Xenopus tropicalis: one gene and its partner. The protein of the gene in region 2 interacts with the protein of the main gene of each other region in a pairwise test. Links are inferred from orthologs where the notes say so. Each region holds a gene or a part of one and is shown on either strand. Other genes may lie near its edges.

Region 1 (8,065 bases), on a different chromosome or scaffold from region 2:
TGCTCCATTTTGGAATGCAGAGACCTGCAATTCTCCTCCCAAATACAGCACAAACTGCACTGTTCAGCACTATATTGGTGATGGGCAGCAGGGGACAGAACGTAGGTGTGTAAATGTAATAAAATGTACTATCAGTCTACTGGACATATTATATTTGAATTGGCTATAACATTACATAATTGAGCTTTATGAAAAAAATTATTTAATTATTAACTTATTTTGCCTAAGTGAAAGGTTAGGGAAATGCAATTATTTCATTGCAGGAAATTCCCATAGACGTACATTGTAATAAATTTCCCTTTTCAAGATCAAGTGGACTGATTTGGAGCAGAAATGTTTTTTTTTAGCCTTTAGAATAAACTGGTCATCTAAATATCATTTGGGCAAGTTTAAAAAAAAAAAAAAATCCCACTGGACAAAAACCTTATTGGCACGATGATGCAGTCCTTGTCCCCTTCAACCAATGTTTGGATCAGCACTCTTGGCCCAGCACACAGGTGGTCATAGTGCAAACTAGCCAAACAAGTGAACAAGGCTGTGCATGGCCAACAAACCACTGTTCTTTGGCAGTCAGAAGCTTGAGCAGTTGAAGCTGACCTAGTCCTGAGTACAACTGCACATATCAATAGAAAGTAGAGCACTGGAATCACCTTTTCATTAAAAAGTCACTTGTATTGGGTCAATTCAAAATATCTCAGAGTCTTACACCAACAGCTTAACGCGTTTCATGGCTTCTCGCCACTTCATCAGAAGCTACTACGGTGCCTCCCAGCAAATTAATTTAAATATACACACCAACGGAATGGATTTGCTGGAAGGCACCGTAGTAGTGTGACTTTTTAAGGATATGATGATTCCGGTGCTCCGTCTACTTTCTATTGATATTGGCTAAGCTGCGATTGGATCGGGGGTGCTTGAAGACGTAGGAGCATGGTACATCCTGTTGCAGCTAAACCAATCTGGCAAGTGCTCCCGTGTATTGTACAACTGCACATACTCCTAGTTGCCAACCGCCACCATAGAGCTAGGAAAAGGTAGTCAAGTGGCTCTCCTTTAAAGAAAAGGCGAGCCAAGCTAGGGTAAAAGGTAAAAAAGTTCTGGATGTGCAGAGTGTCTCTACTTCTCTTCAGTGGCCACTGGAGACAGGAATGCACAGGTGAGTGTATTTTTAAGCTTAAAACTATAGGCTGATATGCAAGCCTTATAGCTGTGAGCCAAACAGATTACTTGATGTACTATGTCTGATACTCTGTGGATATGCACTCCTATCCCTCTATTTTATTTCCTTTATCTACCACGTTGTATAGAGATTATGAGAGGAAAATATAGGACGCCTTTGCATCAATGGCCTTCTTATTGGATCTTTCTGAAACCGCTTACCTGGTTCAGCTGTAGCTTGTGTTGCTGGATGGTCATCTTCAGAGTCTTCAGCAGGTGGCACCAAAACAGACCTTTCTTTCAACCCTGTGTATGCCAGTTATAGGACTTTAATAAGCATCCACAATTCATTGTTTGATAACCAGCATAGTGACAATATGTTATTTAGTGAAATGAATAGAAGGAATTTTGCATACAACGCAAAAAAAAAAAAAAAAAAAAACTACTGCTACTTGTCACTTTGCTTATTATGCCCCATATGTTTACCTTAATCCTACAATTAAAATAATGCCATTGTTTGCTCATGTCATCAAAGCATCAATTCATATTAACCATGTGTTGTAACTATTATATTCAACCAATATCATCAATAACATCTACTTTCAAGCAAATACACAGAGATGAGCTCGGATGAGAACTGTGGTCACGTCTTCAACAGCAGATCATTAAAACAAAAGCCTGAAGCTTGTTCTTCAAAATGTGATAAAATCTGTTAAGCTTGCTACAAACCTTGTTACCCTTAGCAAAGAAATAGTTCGTATTTACTGGTCATCTGTTTAAAAGAAAATTTACTATTAGTTGCTAGGGATTCCTACACTTGGGCAAACTCTGTGCCTTTTATTACATATGAAGTTATGTTAAATTATGTGACAAACATACAAAATACTATCATGTTGTATAAAACCAGAAATTTTGCCATAAAAAAAAAAAATGCCAAACAATATCTTTAGTGCTACCACATAGTGGGAAAAAACACCAAAACTATCTAGTATGTTTGCACTACTAAAAATGTGTCATACCCTCTGAATTTGAACAGAAAACACCAGAAAGATAACAAGCAGTGTCGCAGGCCCCCTCCTCTGTTCAGGGATGGTTTTTCCAGGCTGGCATAAATGGCCTCTTTCAAACCATCGGTCCTCTCGGTCCAACATCGTAGGTTAAAACGAAGATGGTTTCGGTAATCCGCAAGTTTTCTGGCCATCCTCTCATTCCCGTACCAATTTTAGGGTATTCTCCCCAATATGAGTAGCAATACGTCTATGTGTTTTTTATATTTCTGTTAATAAAATGTTCTTTAGGATGCAACATGAAACTGAAAGACCAAAACTCAGATTTGGAAGATAAGCAAGCTTGTGACAAATTTCATTCAAGAAACCAAGCACAACATTTCAATGACTGTTTATTCTGAAACTGAAGCATGTGTTCTAGTTACAGGATTGTTTAACTAAGAAAGCATCACAGTTTGCGCGATCACTACTTAGTCTAATGCACATACAACTAATCTGTCTCTCTTGCAATGAAAGCAGAACCCTAGCAAGGGTAAGCTGCACATCCTTTGTTGGCTTTGCACATGCTTTGTTGGCTAAACAAAGCTTTGATCTAGAAGCCTGCATTTAAATCCTTTGGCATAAAGATGCACACGATTTGCAGCACAGTATAGTAGATTATGTACATGTCTAAAGGAGACCCTTATAACATTGTTTTGCATTTCTTGGCCTACTCAAGCAGTCAGTGCAATTAGTGTTATAACGAAGCAGCTTCTCGGCAAATGGTAAAGTGCATTTCCACACACACGTGCAGAGATTGTGTGAGAAGCTGCTGGAAACATTACAGTACGTCCTGCTGGGGTTAGTACAGCAGCTTCATTTCCTTTTGTCATCTTTCTTTGAATCTTTGTTTTCTTTCTTCTCTGGCCTTTTCCCCCTCTCCCGTTCAGTTGCTTTCCCACTCGTGGTCCTTTTCACGGGTTCCTTATGTTTTTCATCTTTCTTCTGGCGTGGTTCATCCCTTTCCTGCTCTTTTTTGGGTCTGCCCCCCTCTTGTGGTTTTCTGGCCTTGTCACTTGTCTCTTTCACCGGCTTTTTCCTCTCTGCAACCTTTGGCTCTTTTTTCTGAACTACAATTTTTTCTTTCACCTTTTTAAGTTGCTCTTTAATTTCCTCTTTAACTTGATATTTTGTATGTTTAAAATAGAAAGGAGTATTAGTTAAATCAGCAACTAAGAACAATAAAGAAACCCAAGGTCTGTATTAGTCACAGAAACACTGTAGTTTACCTGATAATATCCAATCAAAATTTTAAAACAAATAACTATATAAAGCCTGTGTGACAAACACAACTGGGTACCACAAACATAAAGCCATAAAAAGCCTGTTTTAGTTTCCCCCAAATACAAAAGGCAATGTAAAAAACCTGCATCCTGTAGACTTTAAAAAAAGTAATGTTACATTAAAGGGGAACACCACCCAAACATAACTTAAGCTTTTTGAAAATATAATTTTAAGCAACTTTGCAATATACATCAATAAAAAATATGCAGCAGTTACATGATTTTTAAATGTAACAATATGGTTTGGAACAGTTGCCTAAGCCTAGCCCCCTGTTCTCCTGCTGATCTGGCTGACTACTTTGAGATGCAAACTATTCTGCTGTCTGTAAGCTGTAGAGTTGTTGTTATAATTGTAACATCAATGTTTTAGTCCTGTCTCCCCTGCTTGGATTTCAAATGATGCAGAAAGAGAAGAACTGTTTTGCAGCTAGATTCCAGCATAGCAAAATGTTATTTATTCATACTTTAACAGATTACAGTGATAGGTATATTAGGGGTTTCTGTGTTGTGTGGGTCTCTTTCACAAATTTTGGTTCGGAAGCCAGAGTTACCCTTTAATGTTAGGTCACTGTATTTTTTGGTAAAAAATGACTGTACATGAATCCAACTTGACAAAACTATAGCAACCTATCATAAATACATATTAATAGCTGTAACTAGAAGTGGAAATAAGGCAAGTGTAAGTCCAGGCAAGGTTAGCATCAGCTCAATAGCTCATAACACTGTTGCTGTGTATGTGTTATGAAAATGATTTGCCTTTTAAACATGCCATACTAGCAATGCATTTTGCTTCTCACTGTTAGTATAACAGCACACTCATTTTTTTGGCAAATTTATCTATTGATAATTATTTAAATTTTACATTCTTCTGCCACAATGCAGTGCAAAAGTCATGCTTTACTCCAAGCTCTAATAAATGTGAAAATAATTAAATAAAATAATGTCATAGCTTCTTGGAGACAGGCACAGATACACATGCAATACTTTCATTAGGTCACAAATGTATGACTGAAAAAGTGTGGGCATTTGAGTGCTCATCTTTATACTTGTATGTTCATTGGGGGGGGGGGGGGAAAGACCACAAGCTTTCATCACTACAAAGGACTACAGAGACCAGACTAATTTTACAGGTTTATTCTTCTACTCTGTAATATTACTCTTGATACACCTGATAATTACTACATCAGTGAAAAATATGTTGGTGCTTTATAAATAAAAAAAAACCTAACTTGACTAGACTCAAAGTAAAAAAGTCTATAATATCTCCGGACCTCCTCTTCTGTCATCGATAAATAGGTGATGTCCAAATAGACCGATCTACTCTATGGCTCCTAACACTTCTCACCATTTTAATTGGATTCTAATTGGAATCAGCACTGTAAGCTTGCAGACTCTCTCTGCATTAATATTTACTACACCCAATTACATTTCCAGGTCACAGTTCCAGTCCCTTGAGTTTAGGGACATCTAATTTGCTTGCTTAAATATTTCATTAGCCAAACTCTGAACACAGTCAAATAAAGAACAAATGTAACAGTTTGACTCACAAGACTTAGGGGCCGATTCATTAAAACACGAGTTCGAATCCCGAATGGGAAAAATTCGGATTAAATACGATAATTTCTGAAGATCGCAAATATCATGAAAATGCTTACGAAAAAATCGTATTAGTCACGATAATATCGTATTGGCGATCCGAAAGTCACAACATTTTCGTACCAAACAATTGTAAACAGCGGCAGAACCTTTCTGAATTTTTCACGCAAGCGTACGGAAAAGTTGCCGAAAATACGCTCCGAGCATTCGTGTCTTAATAAATCTCCCCCTTCGTGCACTATTGCAAGGGTTTATGAATAAAACACTGCTGTGCAAGTTTGCCCCTTACTGCATATTCAATTACGTATTCAAATAAAACCTACTCTTAATTTAATAGCACACATGCCACATGATCTGGGTAATTAGTCTAAAAGGAGGCCATACACAGGCAGATTTAAGCTTCTGATTCAGCCTCTTCCGTTTGAGTCAGCATGTTGTACAACCTAACAGAAATCCAATTGGAGTGAGGACCGCATCGGCTCGTGGATGTAGCCCATGCCCTGATGGCCTGAATACCCATTGTTATGATCTGCTTGTTTGGGCATAAGCCTACCTTATGATGAGCATACCGGAGAATTATTTGCTCCTTTCGCAACCTCGCCATACGAGCGTATGTTACAATATATGGCCAGCATAACACCAAATTCCATTTCATTTCAGTAGATTTTTGTAAGCTGTCCATTTACTTTGAGTTTTAGTCTGTGCAAGATTATATTATTGTTTACTGATTTCTACAGTGTTAAAGATAAAACCAAATTGCATGGAGGGCAGGTATAAATTAATGTCCCCAGCAAACTGAAAAAAAACAAAAGCCTCACATCCATGGGAGTGTATGCCACTAAAATCATGGTGATTTCAGGCTAAAAGATTCTAACCCTGGTGATTTGGAAAAGGAAGGACAAGCAAATAAAAACTAAATAATGTTAATAACATCAATGATCTGTATGATCTGTAGAGTGCATTCTAAGTCAGTAAGAGCACACACGCTATACTGTAAAACTCACACAAAATCATACAACACAAAGAAATCACTGTGCAAAATACCTTTTGTCTTTGTTTTGGCTAATCCTCCTGGCTCTTCTCCTTTTGTTTACAGAATAAACATATATTTCAAACACAAACCACAAAAATACAAGCTTAAGTAAATTTATTCCATTAATAACAAACTGGGGATAAAATACATGCTACTCTCAAATGACAATTGTGCAATGGTGGTCACAGGCACTAGGTAAACTGTAACTGTGCTTGACCAGCAAAGAAACGGGGTATTAACCAGCAGGGTGTTAAAGGGCCACTATGTTTTGATCATTCTTATTTGTCGGTTAGTTATATAGATCTATATCTTTTACACACATGCATAGATGCAGTAGGAGTCCAGATCCATTATTTAAAAAAACGAAAACAAACAGATTTTATTCCGTCTATACTTTTACTATTATTTATAAATTACATATATTGAACTTTGTCACTTTAATATCTAATATTCATGTGTGGGGATATTTTGTGCATTGTAGGGTCAATGACTCCCACAGCATAATCTACATACTAACAAATGCGCTGTACCACTGTATTCTGCAGAGGTATTGTCTTTTAAAATGTGTATTTTATAAGCTATAAATGTCTGCATATACAGGTATGGGACCTTTAATCCAGAATTCACGGGGACAGTGGTTTTCCAGATAAGGGATCTCCATACATTAAGGGGCACATTTACTAACCCACGAACGGGCCGAATGCGTCCGATTGCGTTTTTTTCGTAATGATCGGTAATTTTGCGATTTTTTTTTCGGCGTCTTTACGATTTTTGCGTAAAAACGCGAGTTTTTCGGCGTCTTTACGATTTTTGCGTAAAAACGCGAGTTTTCCGTAGCCATTACGAAAGTTGCGCAAAGTCGCGATTTTTTCGTAGCGTTAAAACTTTTAAGTTTTAACGCTACAAAAAAGGCGCGACTTTGCATGCAAGTGTTAACGCTACGAAAAAATTGCGACTTTGCGCAACTTTCGTAATGGCTACGAAAAACTCGCGTTTTTACGCAAAAATCGTAAAGACGCCGAAAAACTCGCGTTTTTACGCAAAAATCGTAAAGACGCCGAAAAAAAAACGCAAAAAATACGAAAAAGTCGCAAAATGTTCGTTTCCAATCGGAATTTTTCCAATTCGGATTCGAAATTGTGTCTTAGTAAATCAGCCCCTAAGTCTGCTAAAAAATAATTTACACATTAAACTCAATATGATTGTTTTACATCTAATAAGGATTAATTATATCTTAGTTGGAATCAAGATCAAGGTCCTGTTTTATTATTACAGAGAAAAAAAAAATATTTTTAAAAATCAAAAAGTAATTTGATTAAAATTGAGTCTATGGGAGATGGCCTTCTCATAATTCTGAGCTTTCTGGACAATGAGTTTCCAGATAACACATCCCATACCTGCAGGTGAACATGACTAACTATCAATGTATTAGTTTTGTAAAAATGTTTAAATGATGAAATGATAACAGTTCTGGCACAGATTGCTGGGCTCAGTCAGTTGGTGCAATTGCTTTTTTCCAGTCCCTGCAAAGCCTGCACCACTTCCAGTCTCAGCCCACTACACAGCTCACCTACATGTCCCTCAGCTTTCCTTCTATTTTATTTCCTTAACTTTACTTTTTTACTTCTCCCTGAAGACTCTCAAGTTCATCTTCTTTTAGTACCCCACATTTTTTTTCCCTGTTCTGCTCAATACAATTGTTTTCCAGATTCACAGTATGTGGCAGCATAAGAGACCATTGCCCTTTATATCAGAATTAATAATAAGCCTTGTAGCATCACCTAATTGAAATATAACATTACTTTCTGCTAATATTTATATACAGTTCCTCTTAACCAGAGCCCAGAGCACACTGAGCCTGTGCAGAGTCACTGGCACACAAAGAACAAGGGCCCAACAATATCAGAATCTGTCGAGATGTTTTGGAAAATTGTGAAGGTATAGACTGA
Region 2 (6,927 bases):
GGGGTGGGGTTACTGGAATAAGGAGTTACAGGGGCAATAAGGCACTCAGGGGCGGGGTTACTGGAATAAGGAGTTACAGGGACAATAAGGCACTCAGGGGCAGGGTTACTGGAATAAGGAGTTACAGGGACAATAAGGCACTCAGGGGCGGGGTTACTGGAATAAGGAGTTACAGGGGCAATAAGGCACTCAGGGGCGGGGTTACTGGAATAAGGAGTTACAGGGACAATAAGGCACTCAGGGGCGGGGTTACTGGAATAAGGAGTTACAGGGACAATAAGGCACTCAGGGGCGGGGTTACTGGAATAAGGAGTTACAGGGACAATAAGGCACTCAGGGGCGGGGTTACTGGAATAAGGAGTTACAGGGACAATAAGGCACTCAGGGGCAGGGTTACTGGAATAAGGAGTTACAGGGACAATAAGGCACTCAGGGGCGGGGTTACTGGAATAAGGAGTTACAGGGACAATAAGGCACTCGGGGGCGGGGTTACTGGAATAAGGAGTTACAGGGACAATAAGGCACTCGGGGGCGGGGCTGTTATTAGGGGGTTACAGTAACTCAAAGCAAACTGTGACAATGCAGAAAATGTGCTTAGGTTCCATGGATAAAGGATCTATATCAGCGGTTCTCAAGCTGTGGGTCGGGACCCCTTTGGCCTTTCACAGGAGTCGCCTAAGACCGTCGTAAAACACATTAGGTATATTTTAGGGTTGGGGGTCACCACAACATGAGGAACTGTATTAAAGAGTCGCGGCATTAGGGAGGTTGAGATCCTCTGGTCTATATGAGTGTGGTTGCAGAGAGGCCAGACATGGATGAGGGTGGGAATGTTACAGGGGAGCAGACGTTACTTTTACAATGTCTGGAACTTAATGTCCCAGTCAGGTGCACCTCTTCCTCCCCCCATCCCACTCTTGTGTTTTGTTTAAGGGCAATTAAGTGTAAAAAATCAAAACAGCGCAGGGTGGGGGAATGTCTGCAAAATCCAGCAGGGCTGCCAGGCATCTACTGTATGTGTTATAGGCACAACCCAACAGGCTAAATGTACTTTTCCATAAACTAATTAGTTCTATATTGTATTTATGTCCCTCTGTATATTAGAGTGTAAGCTCTGCAGGGCAGGATTCCCTTCTCCCAATGGTTCCCTCTCCCTGTATTGTATTTATGTCCCTCTGTATATTAGAGTGTAAGCTCTGCAGGGCAGGATTCCCTTCTCCCAATGGTTCCCTCTCCCTGTATTGTATCTGTGTCACTCTGTATATTAGAGTGTAAGCTCTGCAGGGCAGGATTCCCTTCTCCCAATGGTTCCCTCTCCCTGTATTGTATCTGTGTCACTCTGTATATTAGAGTGTAAGCTCTGCAGGGCAGGATTCCCTTCCCCCAATGGTTCCGTCTCCCTGTATTGTATCTGTGTCCCTCTGTATATTAGAGTGTAAGCTCTGCAGGGCAGGATTCCCTTCCCCCAATGGTTCCCTCTCCCTGTATTGTATCTGTGTCCCTCTGTATATTAGAGTGTAAGCTCTGCAGGGCAGGATTCCCTTCCCCCAATGGTTCCCTCTCCCTGTATTGTATCTGTGTCCCTCTGTATATTAGAGTGTAAGCTCTGCAGGGCAGGATTCCCTTCTCCCAATGGTTCCCTCTCCCTGTATTGTATCTGTGTCCCTCTGTATATTAGAGTGTAAGCTCTGCAGGGCAGGATTCCCTTCCCCCAATGGTTCCCTCTCCCTGTATTGTATCTGTGTCCCTCTGTATATTAGAGTGTAAGCTCTGCAGGGCGGGATTCCCTTCTCCCAATGGTTCCCTCTCCCTGTATTGTATCTGTGCCCCTCTGTATATTAGAGTGTAAGCTCTGCAGGGCTGGATTCCCTTCTCCCAATGGTTCCCTCTCCCTGTATTGTATCTGTGCCCCTCTGTATATTAGAGTGTAAGCTCTGCAGGGCAGGATTCCCTTCTCCCAATGGTTCCCTCTCCCTGTATTGTATCTGTGCCCCTCTGTATATTAGAGTGTAAGCTCTGCAGGGCTGGATTCCCTTCTCCCAATGGTTCCCTCTCCCTGTATTGTATCTGTGTCCCTCTGTATATTAGAGTGTAAGCTCTGCAGGGCAGGATTCCCTTCTCCCAATGGTTCCCTCTCCCTGTATTGTATCTGTGCCCCTCTGTATATTAGAGTGTAAGCTCTGCAGGGCAGGATTCCATTCTCCCAATGGGTCCCTCTCCCTGTATTGTATCTGTGCCCCTCTGTATATTAGAGTGTAAGCTCTGCAGGGCAGGATTCCCTTCTCCCAATGGTTCCCTCTCCCTGTATTGTATCTGTGTCACTCTGTATATTAGAGTGTAAGCTCTGCAGGGCAGGATTCCCTTCTCCCAATGGTTCCCTCTCCCTGTATTGTATCTGTGTCCCTCTGTATATTAGAGTGTAAGCTCTGCAGGGCAGGATTCCCTTCTCCCAATGGTTCCTCTCCCTGTATTGTATCTGTGTCCCTCTGTATATTAGAGTGTAAGCTCTGCAGGGCAGGATTCCCTTCTCCCAATGGTTCCTCTCCCTGTATTGTATCTGTGTCCCTCTGTATATTAGAGTGTAAGCTCTGCAGGGCAGGATTCCCTTCTCCCAATGGTTCCCTCTCCCTGTATTGTATCTGTGTCCCTCTGTATATTAGAGTGTAAGCTCTGCAGGGCAGGATTCCCTTCTCCCAATGGTTCCCTCTCCCTGTATTGTATCTGTGCCCCTCTGTATATTAGAGTGTAAGCTCTGCAGGGCAGGATTCCCTTCTCCCAATATTGTATCTGTATCTTAGTCCTGTGCCTCACATTTGACACCAACACTTGAGTGTGACTGAGAACACTACAATCCCAGCTCCATTGTATGTAACAAAGAAATATTGATCGATTTGTTCCTCAGTTACTCATCAATAGGTAGGGTAGGTTCTCTCAGCGGCCAATAGGAATTCAGGATTCATAGGACTCCATGATGTCTGCTGAAGGCAGGGTTACAAATAGACCCCTGCCGTACAAGTTCCAGCCACAAATGGGCAGATATGCTTGGAACCAATCTCTACAAACAACCCCCCCCCCCCACATCAGCCGTTCCTGCCCCTTACCCAGGGGTGTATTTAGGTCTAGTGCTGCCCCAGTGTGCGTGACATCCCATAGGCCCTGCCCCCTAGGCACAGACCCTCAGGTGCCTTATTATAAATATGGTCCTGCCCTTACCCCATTTCCCAACTGCCTAAAAGCAGATCTACCGAATGGGCTTGATGGCTGCCATGTTTGGGGGAAACAGACCAGCCCCTATCAAGCAATCAGCCCCCAGAAGTGCCACAACCAAACATGGTGGCCCCCAACCCTCACTGCCTGAATGTTCCGTCCAATGTTTGTCTATGACGTCCGTGTATCCAGAGACACTGGCGCAGAGCTAGAGATTAACCCGGACTCAAACTACATGTTTTACAAAGAGTTTAATTTAAGAACTGCCCCGCACCCCGCCGCCCAGTAGGGGGCAGTAGGCAGAAAGGACAGTGTGCAACTGCAATACATGTCAGCTCTAGTCTGCGGGGCAGTCATGCTCAGAACTTACACAGACCGTGCCATTCTCTTGGCTAAGGGGGGGGGGGGGGTTAGATAATATGGGAAGGGGGGGTTAGACAACGCATGAGAGACAAAAAGATTACCAGAAACAAAGGGAGCTCCAGGCTGAAAGAGGCCCAAAGAGAGAGGGCCATGAACACCCCAGAGACTGCTGAACTAATACCTCCTACTGCCGCATCTGGGGATGGTGGGAGTTAAAGGATTAGTTCTGCAAAGGGTAGAGACTCCCAAAGACTGCCAGGCATACAGAGAGACAATGTGAGAGACTGCCAGGCACAGAGACAAAATGACTACCGGGCACACAGAGACAAGGAGAGAGACTGCCAGATGCACAGAGAGACAAGGAGACTGCCAGACGGCCTGACAGACTAGAGGAAGAGACTGCCAGACACACAGAGACAAAGAGAGAGAATGCCAGATGCACAGAGGGATGAGGAGAGACTGCCAGATGCACAGAGGGATGAGGAGAGACTGCCAGGTACACAGAGAGACAAGGAGACTGCCAGACGGCCTGACAGACTAGAGGAAGAGACTGCCAGACACACAGAGAGACAAGGTGAGAGACTGCCAGGCACACAGAGAGACAAGGTGAGAGACTGCCAGGCACACAGAGAGACAAGGTGAGAGACTGCCAGGCACACAGAGAGACAAGGTGAGAGACTGCCAGGCACACAGCGAGACAAGGTGAGAGACTGCCAGGCACACAGAGAGACAAGGTGAGAGACTGCCAGGCACACAGAGAGACAAGGTGAGAGACTGCCAGGCACACAGAGAGACAAGGTGAGAGACTGCCAGGCACACAGAGAGACAAGGTGAGAGACTGCCAGGCACACAGAGAGACAAGGTGAGAGACTGCCAGACGGCCTGACAGACGAGAGGAAGAGACTGCCAGACGGCCTGACAGACGAGAGGAAGAGACTGACAGACACACAGAGAAATAAAGTGAGACAGCCAGAAAAACAAAGGCATTCAACTGTCCAAGACAATAGAAATAAAACAAACGAGAGGGAGGCTTAAAGGTCAGGTCCCCTAAATCCAGTTATAATAAATAGACGTAGCCTTGGGGTGATTAGGAGTTACATGGGTGGGTGCTGGTCAGGGAGCCCCCCTCCTGTGTGAGTAGTGCCATCCAGCCAGTCCGACTCTTCTCTATAAACAGCTGGAGGGTTTCTGAAATATCGCCCCCCGTGCCGCTCTCCATGCCTACTTCCCGCTGGGGGGCTTGTAGGGTTCCAACAGGAGCTTTGAGAAGGTGTTTACGTTTTCTGCCCCTCGAACCTCGTGAGGAAGAAGAGGGAGCTTCGCAATGTGGAAATCTTCATAGAGATCCTCCATCTGTAACGAACCAATCAGATAATGAGAGGCAGCAATGTAGGTCTCATACATATGTCTGTCACCCTGCAGTGGGAAGGACAGACTCCGTGTCCCATAGCCCCCTCCTGTCTGTGTCACTGTATCACCCTGCAGTGGGAGGGGCAGACTCCGTGTCCCATAGCCCCCTCCTGTCTGTGTCACTGTATCACCCTGCAGTGGGAGGGGCAGACTCCATGTCCCATAGCTCCCTCCTGTCTGTGTCACTGTATCACCCTGCAGTGGGAGGGACAGACTCCGTGTCCCATAGCCCCCTCCTGTCTGTGTCACTGTATCACCCTGCAGTGGGAGGGGCAAACTCCGTGTCCCATAGCTCCCTCCTGTCTGTGTCACTGTATCACCCTGCAGTGGGAGGGACAGACTCCGTGTCCCATAGCCCCCTCCTGTCTGTGTCACTGTATCACCCTGCAGTGGGAGGGACAGACTCCGTGTCCCATAGCCCCCTCCTGTCTGTGTCACTGTATCACCCTGCAGTGGGAGGGACAGACTCCATGTCCCATAGCCCCCTCCTGTCTGTGTCACTGTATCACCCTGCAGTGGGAGGGGCAAACTCCGTGTCCCATAGCTCCCTCCTGTCTGTGTCACTGTATCACCCTGCAGTGGGAGGGACAAGCTCTATTTCCTACCTGGTCCAGGTATTTCGATTGGATCTTGTGCCTGGCCTCACACATCCTGCACGGTTTCTCTGGCTCGGGAAATACCAGCTGGTTGACTATAATGTTATGAGTGTCTATGCTGCATTTGGCCAGCTCCTGGATCAAGCGCTCGGTCTCGTACAGTGACAGGAACTCGGCGATACACACGCAGATGAACGTGGTCTGCTCCTGTGCGCAGGAAACAATCATCCAATTGTTACCATGACAATTCTAAAAAGCTGTATAGGTCAGACTAAAGTAGAATCTGCCAATCAGTGGGACCCTAGATGATTTTAAATCAGAACCCTCAGCTAGAAATCAATGGGGCTTTTATAAATAAATCTCACATTGACTTTCCCTTTCAATAAGACCCTATGGCACAGCGCCCTCTATCTTCCATAGAGAAACAACGCAAGCTCTGAATGCTCACCGGATCTTTGAACTGCTCGCTGACAGACCGGATCACGGGAAGCGTCTCCTCTAGCTTGGAGGCCAACTGGTCGGCGTTCATATCGCCAAGTCCCAGCATGTTGCACATCTATGGGAGAGCGGAACAGAATGGGGTCAGGCAGACGAAGAGACAAAAGGAACTTGCCAGGGAAAAAAATATATGAATTAAATATTGGAGGGAAAAAACAACATTATTATTCTTCTTACTTATTAAAGGGCCACAGGATGTATAATGGCTGTATGGAACAGATGTGTGAGAGTATCCTTTATTTATATAGCACCAACATACTCCATAGCACTGTACATGGAACATATATCATTCCCATCAGTCCCTGCCCCAGTGGAGCTTACACTCTAAGTCCCTATTACATTAGGCTCAGTTCTATTATGAGCCAAACAAACTGCCTTCCTCTCAGTGCAATGAATGAGTCGGGTCTTTATGCCTCTAGTACAATGGCCCCCCACATACCCCCCACTACCTGCCTTTCCAGTATCTCACCTGTGATATAAATGGGCTGATCTGGTTCTTGATCTGCATGAGGCGCCCCAGGCCTCGCTCTACTATGGTGGGGAAGTTGAGCAGACGCAGGGTGTGTCCAGTGGGAGCCGTGTCAAACACCACTACGGAGAAATTCATCCCTTTCACCAGCCTGTGGGTACAGTCACAACTTAAATATATGTACATATGTGTTAGCAATAATGCCTCCATGTCCCATAGCCCCCTCTTGTCTGTGTCACTGTATCACCCTGCAGTGGGAGGGACAGACTCCATGTCCCATAGCTCCCTCCTGTCTGTATCACTGTATCACCCTGCAGTGGGAGGGGCAGACTCCATGTCCCATAGCTCCCTCCTGTCTGTGTCACTGTATCACCCTGCAGTGGG

Evidence for each region.
Region 1: the proteins of get3 (region 2) and asph interact in binary tests that used the Homo sapiens proteins (3 or more experiments, as listed by UniProt). The two-hybrid records come from large-scale screens. The link is inferred for Xenopus tropicalis from reciprocal best matches to the Homo sapiens genes GET3 and ASPH.

Annotation. Positions count from the first base shown.
Region 1 is NC_030682.2:117,475,054-117,483,118, forward strand, and holds the end of asph (aspartyl/asparaginyl beta-hydroxylase), read right to left. Parts: intron 6,167-8,065; coding exon 6,128-6,166; intron 3,326-6,127; coding exon 3,021-3,325; 3' UTR 2,545-3,020; downstream 1-2,544.
Region 2 is NC_030679.2:140,435,679-140,442,605, forward strand, and holds the end of get3 (ATPase asna1), read right to left. Parts: intron 6,695-6,927; coding exon 6,544-6,694; intron 6,133-6,543; coding exon 6,025-6,132; intron 5,784-6,024; coding exon 5,586-5,783; intron 4,924-5,585; coding exon 4,792-4,923; 3' UTR 3,440-4,791; downstream 1-3,439.